Daphnia pulex: one gene and its partner. The protein of the gene in region 1 purifies or fractionates together with the protein of each later gene. This does not show direct contact. Links are inferred from orthologs where the notes say so. Each region holds a gene or a part of one and is shown in the gene's direction. Other genes may lie near its edges.

Evidence for each region.
Region 2: the proteins of cyclin-dependent kinase 7-like (region 1) and CDK-activating kinase assembly factor MAT1-like purify together in Drosophila melanogaster (affinity purification with western blotting; 3 studies listed by BioGRID, with this or other methods). This does not show direct contact. The link is inferred for Daphnia pulex from reciprocal best matches to the Drosophila melanogaster genes Cdk7 and Mat1.

What each region holds. Positions count from the first base shown.
Region 1 is NC_060020.1:945,952-950,329, forward strand, and holds cyclin-dependent kinase 7-like, read left to right. Parts: upstream 1-1,876; 5' UTR 1,877-1,950; coding exon 1,951-2,022; intron 2,023-2,082; coding exon 2,083-2,145; intron 2,146-2,216; coding exon 2,217-2,498; intron 2,499-2,579; coding exon 2,580-2,707; intron 2,708-2,771; coding exon 2,772-2,949; intron 2,950-3,020; coding exon 3,021-3,193; intron 3,194-3,247; coding exon 3,248-3,389; 3' UTR 3,390-3,425; downstream 3,426-4,378. Other genes in the region: DET1 homolog, read right to left, coding at 1-444, 502-1,650; NADH-quinone oxidoreductase subunit B 2-like, read right to left, coding at 3,495-3,698, 3,758-3,967, 4,045-4,148, 4,221-4,371.
Region 2 is NC_060019.1:8,785,984-8,789,979, reverse strand, and holds CDK-activating kinase assembly factor MAT1-like, read left to right. Parts: upstream 1-1,535; 5' UTR 1,536-1,714; coding exon 1,715-1,844; intron 1,845-1,905; coding exon 1,906-2,801; 3' UTR 2,802-2,933; downstream 2,934-3,996. Other genes in the region: Golgi phosphoprotein 3 homolog sauron-like, read left to right, coding at 1-80, 154-402.

The sequences.
Region 1 (4,378 bases):
AAATGGATCTGTTGGATGAAACGTGAAAGCAACAAGGCGACGGGCAGAAGAAGGCGGAGCTGGCCGGCCAAGAATACCAGCATAAATGCGAAACCGCAGCAGTCCAGATTCACGGACGTAGAAACGAATGGGGTGCTCTCCACTAGTCTTTGGACGCTCCATGAGCGAAACCCATTTATCGTCATAGGAAAACAGCTGCAAATCAAGGTAAGGCGAAGAGGAATAGGATTGTGCTGAAATGGGAAGTTGTGAAAGAAGTCGTTTTGTGGCTTCCGTCTGCCCACCAAAGCGAGCGCTGACAATGGTCTGCTTGAATCGTTGATGAATGACGTTTGCAAATACGTTGCTGGACGGTGATCCTTGTGTTGCGTTGCGTAGTAAATCGCAAAAGTTCTCGAACAAGTTCAGTAGTTCCTGACTTGTGTTTTCATAGACGTTAATAACCTGTAAAACAATAATACGTGGGATTAAGTTTTTTTCTTTTAATTATAATCAAGATACCTGTGCGTTTTCCATATTGTAAACGACAAAGAAGGCCGGTTGCGTATTTGGGTCTGGAGCTCGTAGTGTAACCACATCTTCACTAGCATATTTCAGAAGCAAATGTGACTCATCCAACAACTGCATTTTCCAGATTCGGAGTGCGCGAATGTGATCAAAGTTCTGATAGAACTTTCGTACGTGAAAGAGATTCCCTTCGGCTTCAGCCATGTTGATTGCTCGTCGGTAGAGAAACACTAGTAAACGATGCTTGAGCGCGTTGACAGTTGCCTCTCGAAACGGACGAACCAACTGACCCGAAGGCCAAAGTCCCCGTACTTGATTGATTAACCATTCGTCATCGTCGAAACAAAATCGACCTATAGTTTTTACATCAGCAAAATAGCCATCGTGTGAAATTTTAAAAATGTGTATCGTTTGATGCTGGACAGAGAGAACTGCTAGAGTGTCTTCATACAAGTAAAGTCCTTGGTTGTGTGAGAGAAAGATTTTGTCGGTCTTCATTGTTCTAGTATCACAGAGCCTTCCATTGACGATGTCAACGATGTGAAGTGAGCAATCTTCTAGTGGAGAACGAGGATGAGGAGATACGGATTCATTATTACGGAAAATATCAAAAAAATTTGGCTGGGGCTCTTCGGGAACGTACGAGGCTGAACCGACAATAACAAATCTTCCGTCACCGACAAAGAGACTGCATTCGCGATTTAGTTGTTCACCAACAGGAGTTACAGCAATAGTATGCTTTAACTGGAAGAATTTAGAAAATACTTTACTTCTTAAATTTACAGCTTCATTGGTATCATTTCCAACAAACTCTCTCGTTCCTGGAACATCTGTAAGTAAATCTTCTACTGCACTTGGTCCAAGATATTTGTAAACTTCCACTGAAGTTTGATCTGAAGAGAATGCAATAAAGTACTTGCCGTTGGGTGTAAATTTTCTCAAATAGCATGGTGGCTTTTCTATGTTGACAATTGTAAAATTTGGGACAACACTTTGATAAAATGATCGGCAAATGTGATAGTTTCCGGGTTTGACATGAGTCTCTCGACGAATCAGTCGAATTACAACATTCTGCGAGGGAATTTTTCTAGGAGTCAACTCGAACTCACCATGGTCAGCCTGTCTATATTTGGGGTTCATCATTTTCAGAACCTTTTTTATTACTCGGCATTTTTACTACGTATCTGCAATTCCCATTTTATTCGCCGTGAATTTTAGAAGTTTCAGATTTTTAGTGATAAAGCACATGTGAAATAGAACTGAAGCAGGTTTGAGATGTCAAAATCCGAAACATTTTGTAGAACAGATCGATCTAGCGGTGGTAATAGAAAGATAAACAATAGTTTTTCACGCCACCTGTTGACGAGTGAAATTCCATTTTAAAATAATCGTTCTTGACGGGTGATTAAAAGTTGAAAGAAACTTTGAGTGTATGAATGAAAAATGCACGTGAGTGGAGAAAGAGAACCTAGACTTCAGCGATATGAAAAGATTGAATTTTTGGGAGAAGGACAGGTAAGGTTTTGATTGGCACTGTCTTTTGTGTATGTTCAACTGTTTTATTTTGTAATTTAGTTTGCGACAGTCTACAAGGCGAAAGATACTCTAAACGATAACAAAATAGTTGCCGTTAAAAAGGTTTAAAAAATGTGTTTTCATTTCAGCGTTTCCGGTTCGTTTATAAAATACTAACACTATTTCTGTTCAAGATTAAACTGGGTTCACGAGAAGAGGCTAGAGATGGAATCAATCGAACAGCTTTGAGAGAAATCAAGTTACTCCAAGAACTCAAGCATGACCATATAATTGGTTTACTTGATGTCTTTGGTCACCGTTCTAATGTATCTCTGGTGTTTGACTTTATGGATACTGATTTGGAGCAAATAATCAAGGACACAACCATCATTCTCACTCCAGCACACATTAAAGCTTACATTCTTATGACACTTCAAGGACTTGAATATCTCCATCTTCTATTTATTCTTCACAGAGTAATAATAATAATATATATTTTTCCCCTGTACATTATGACAGAAGTATGCACATTCTTTTTTTTTCAACTACCATTTTAGGATCTGAAACCTAACAATCTTCTTGTTGATCGTCAAGGAATACTGAAACTTGGTGATTTTGGTTTGGCAAAATCGTTTGCATCACCCACTCGTATCTACACTCACCAGGTTGTGACGAGGTGGTATAGGTAATTTGAAGAAATGCAACATAAATATTCAGCTGAAATTAAAATTGATCACACCTGAAACTAGGTGTCCAGAACTGTTGTTTGGTGCTCGAATGTACGGTACCGGTGTTGATGTATGGGCAGTAGGTTGCATAATGGCTGAACTTTTGCTTCGACTCCCCTTTTTACCTGGAGAATCTGACTTAGATCAACTTACACGTATTTTTACAACTTTGGGCACTCCAAACGAAGAGAATTGGCCAGTAAGTACATAAAACAATTTTGAACTCAACCGTCTCCCACCTTTAAACTCTAGTCATATTTCCTTGATTAGGGACTGCTTTCGCTACCAGATTTTGTTCAGTTTAAGGCTTTCCCCGTGATTCCAATGCGGCATATTTTCACCGCCGCCGGAGATGATTTGCTGCAGCTTTTGAGTCGTTTTTTGGCATTGCATCCTTTAGACAGGTGTACTTGTAGCGAAGCTTTGCAAATGCCGTATTTCAGGTATGTATTTTGATTAATTTTTAGATATAAAATTCTAAGTTTCTTCCTTAACAGCAATAAACCAGCTCCAGCTCCAGGATCATCTCTACCTCTACCTGCATCTCTAAGTCAAGCAGCAGTCGACAAAAGCGGAACAAAACGTAAAGTGACGGACAACGGGGAGGGAGGTTCATTAGCGAAACGTTTAGTTTTCTAATAAGTGGTTGAACCAATACATGTGTTTCTAATATAACCTCTAGGTTTATTTCCACCACTCTTGTTGATACAACTTTACAATTTCAGAAGCTTATGACACATTTGCTTATTTTCTGTACCACATCTGAATAGTCTTCATCCGTTTTACTTTTTTCTGTAACTGAAGGATGCCGTACATCAGCGCTTCGGCAGTAGGAGGGCAGCCAGGGACGTAGATGTCAACTGGGATAATCCTGTCGCAACCACGCACAACAGAATACGAATAATGGTAGTAGCCACCACCATTAGCGCAGCTTCCCATAGAAATTACCTGGAGATAAATAAATAAATTCATGATGCCTAATATCTGTGAGAAAGTGTTCCGGTTACCCAACGAGGTTCGGGCATCTGATCGTAAACTTTACGTAAAGCAGGAGCCATTTTGTTGGTAAGTGTACCAGCTACAATTATGACATCAGCCTGACGCGGAGAAGCACGAAATACCACACCATACCGATCCATGTCATATCGCGGAGCTGCAATGTGCATCATTTCTACAGCACAGCAGGCAAGCCCAAAGGTCAGAGGCCATAAAGATCCCTGAGAGCGAAAGTTGAATATTAAAATTTTTCCAGCTAATCCTTAATGATTAACTTCACATAATCTTTAATTTTTACCTTTCTTCCCCAATTGAGAAGATCATCAAGCCGGGCAACTGCATACTCTGCCATATTGTTGGTGTTTTGAAATGGAGAGTATGGTCTCTTTTTATCCAGGGCAGCTAAGAATATTCAAAGATAAGATGTTGGTAGTAAGAAGTGATCTCAAATGCCTAAAATGGAAGGAAAATTACCATTTCCTTCAGTTCCAGATTGGGGAACGGTGCTCTGATTCCGTTTCAGTACGATAGAAGTCATGGACAAACTCGACGGTACTGAGACACTGCTGTTAATCCCTAAGGACTTCACTAGGGCGCCATTCAATGTTCCACGTAGGGCAAGCATATTCTTA
Region 2 (3,996 bases), on another chromosome or scaffold:
AGAAACAGAATTTTCTCTTGTTTGATATGACCACTCATCCTCTCACGGACAATATCATGAAAACTCGTCTTGTCAAAAAGGTGTGACGTCTTCACATTCTCAAAGCCAGCCATATCATTAAACCTTTTGTTCCTTTGACCAAACCATCTACAGGTACAAGAAGCAGTCTTATCCAAGTGGGTAAACGACGCTCATCGAATGGACAAACGCATGCTGTCACTCATCTTCCTGGCTCACGCCTCTGACGTGTTAGAGAATGCCTTTGCCCCATTAAACGACGACGACTACGAGCTGGCCATGAAACGGGTTCGTGAACTCCTCTACCTTGACTTGGACAACGAGAGTGCAAAACCTGGAACCAATGAGTTGATGTGGGCTGTTTTTGCTTCCTTTACCAAATGATAACGTTATTATTGTTACTAATATTGTATTGCTATCCCTTTCGTACACTCCTATCCCTTCCCATATCATTTATTTTTCTTATTTTCTTTGCCTATCCCCTTTCTTTTGATCCTTATTTAGTTTCTTTCTTTTTTTGTTCCGCGTCTCCATTATTTTTCCCGTTTTTTAAGCTACTGGCCATCGAAAAAAATAACCCTACCTTTGTATACCTACATAGCTGCAGCCAGGCTAGATTTTCCAATTCATTCCTTCTTTCAAACCATTTTTCAGTTATTACTAGCCCCTCCTTCTTTTTTTAACAATATTTAGAATATCCTACGAGTGTTATTAATTTTCTCCATTTTGAGTGTGCGTTGGGAAGCCTCGATTTATCTAAAAATCATTTCCAAAATTACCGATCACGCTCACAGTGCACTTGTTTCCTCTTTAATTCAAGTTTTCTTTAAATGGTGAAAGGGAAAATATTCATTTAACGAAACCACTATTATTATTATATAGCGAACTCTCATGATTTAACGTGGGTTGAAACGTGGAGGAAAGTGGGCAGAGGAGAGAGACGTTTTTGTTACAATTCTGGGGAAATCCCGTTGTGGTATGTATTGTAAATATACCTTCCATCGGGAGCGCAGCGCGCCATCTTTAAAAATACAACAATATAAATGAAATGAAAAATATGTAACCTGCAAACTGTGAAATGATTTGCGGATTGCGACCCTCAAAAATTCATTTGGATATGTGTGTTTAACAACTCCCTTTAATCGGCTAATGCTATATATTAGGTACTATATTATGTGGGAGAACGTGTATAACATGTTTTATTTCATTACTGCATGTACACACTATTGGTAGTTTGAATAAAAAAATCAGGAATTCGGATGCAACATGTGGTAGATTTTTATTGTCTTTTGTTCCTTCTTTACAGGTAAAATTCAGTGCTGCCATCTTTACGTACAGTGGTTAGCAACCGGAAGCTAGATCAAGGGAAGCGTGGTTGTTAGAAAATGTGAATTTGGGCTGCTTCCCATCTTATCACAATCTTTGGTGTGATTCCCAATGAATCAAGTAATCAACTCTGAAAATTTGGAAATGAAACATTTTCCGAACAAAAACTGACATCACGTGCGGAGATGTTAAATAACGAAGCGGCAACAGTGGTTGAGTCGTCTGCTTGAATCGGTTGGGTTGGTTGAAATGTGTTGAAAAAAGTGCACGAAAATATCAACATGCTCAATTGATGATTCTTCTTTGTATTTATGAAAGCGCCAATGGTTTGAGCAGTCAACCTTAACATTTTTCTTGATAGACATTGACAATGGATGGAAACGATCAAACGTGCCCAAAATGCAAGACAACCAAATACCGAAATCCTGCCATGATTCTCATGGTAAATGCCTGTGGTCATGCTCTTTGCGAGTCCTGCGTAGAACTTCTCTTCGCCAAAGGTACCCCATTTTACAACTTTATTTACTTTTTTGGAGGGTAGCTCTAGTATCTTTTTCTCAGGCTCTGGGGCTTGTCCGGAATGCAAGTGTGCACTCAGAAGACAAAATTTTAGAATTCAGCTCTTTGAGGATCCTGCTGTTGACAAAGAGGTTGATATCCGCAAGAGAATTCTGAAAGAGTTTAACAAACGCCAGGAGGATTTCTCCACTCTGCGAGAGTACAATGATTACCTGGAAGAGGTGGAGAATATAATTTTCAACCTGGTTTTCGATGTTGACTCTACAAACACCAACAAGATGATTGACAACTACAAGAAGGAAAACAAAGACATCACAATGAAAAACAGAAACAGGCAGAGCCAAGAAGAGATTGAGTTGGAAGAGCTATTGGAAGCTGAAAAAGCCCAGCAGTCGGAAAAGGCCAATTCGTACGTCAATGCCGAGCTGGAAGAAAAGAAGCAGAAACACAAGGCTCGAGAGAAACTTATCGATGAGCTCATGTTCTCGGACGCCGATGCCAAGTCGATCGTGGCCTCTCACGTTCAAGCAACCGCCGCACTGGCTAAGGAACAACCGAAAGCAGCAGCCCAGGCCGGTGGACCAGTTGTCAAATCGAGCAAATTCTCATCAGGAATTCAGATTGGCCTTCGTCAGAACACGAGTTCGTTCCTTCCCATTCCCAAGCAACAAGATTTGCCACTCTTCCATTACTCGGCTCCCGTTTTCGACTACAACGGGCCTTCACCTCCGGCCATCGAGGTGCTCGGCAAGTTGAAGTATTTCGCCAATATCCGAGCGGCCAATGCTACTGAAAGAGCCGGTGGCTACACTGAAGCTTTATCTTGCTGCCGGGCTCTTCAAGAGGCGATGGGGGGATTGTTTTATATCCCGCAATCGGGCCACAAGACAGCCGTAGCCGCTTCAGCCGAAGAAACCGACGACATGGAAACAGCATAAACCTTTCTCCTTTACCTACTTTTTTCAACAAAATTTGTCTGCTGGCCTCTCCTTTGAAGGACAAACATTTACCCTCTTTTGTAATTTATCCAACATAGGCAAAATTGAAATACAACCAAGAAAAGCAAGAAATTTCCAGCAAAAACTCTTCGTACGACTTAATCACGGCATGACCAACAAATCGATCGGGGAATTCTTTTTCTTTTCAAAAGGTCACTATTGTAGGGTCGTATTGGTTTTGATGCCGGAATCCATCCCTCATGACAGAAAACAACAACAACGTACGCCTGAATTTATTTGAAAAGGGGTTGTTTTTGTTTTCCAACAGTTTTAATTGCGTGTGTGGGTTGGATTTTTGTGGCATTTCATTTTTATCCTCTAAACAATCGATTGTCAAATTATTCCAAGTGGATTAAGATTTCCGTCTGGTTGAGAGAGCACAGCATTTTTGATCCATCACTCAACGAGGCCTTTGGAGATTCAAAATTCGTTTTTTTTTTTTTTTTCAAGGCTTGTTTGAAATCCGAGTTGATCCTCATTCCCCTCGGAGCCTTTAGACGCCCAAGAAGGAATCCATCAACGTGGGAAAAAATCCCCTCTCGAAGCCTAAGAAGAAAAAGTACCTTCCTTCCTATTGTTGGAAGCCTTTCTTCAATGTTGTATAGCTTTGATGGACTTTTCGTAGGGCAGTAGAGACACAATAGTCGCTCCCTACCAGAGACTTAAGTTGATCCATTCCTTCTATGTGTGTCACATTTTCGATTGGGGAGGGGGGCCATGAAGCAAGCGGCCTACCTAGCAAAGGAATTCTCTTTTCTCCCTTGGCGTTTGTTTGGGTAGGAAAAAAGAAACAATTGAAAAAAAAGGCTCCTCATTCCGCCACTGGATGCTTCTCCTGCCGGGGATCGGATAACTCACCGTCCTCCATTCCGAACCTATTATTACTCCTGCTGTTGTTTTCTTTTACAAGTTATAAACGACAATGGATAAAGATGTGTCTTTTGTAACTTGAAACTTGCTTTTCTTTTTGGCCGAGATCGTCTTTCATCGCCGTAGAGGTCCGTCTCCTAATCGAGTCGAGTCTTTTCCTTCCATATCCAGCGTGAATGTTTTTAAGTTATCGATTTACTCGCTCGTCGAACTTTCCAAGCGATGAAATCTCGCAACTTAAACTTTGTCGTGTGCATAAACGAGA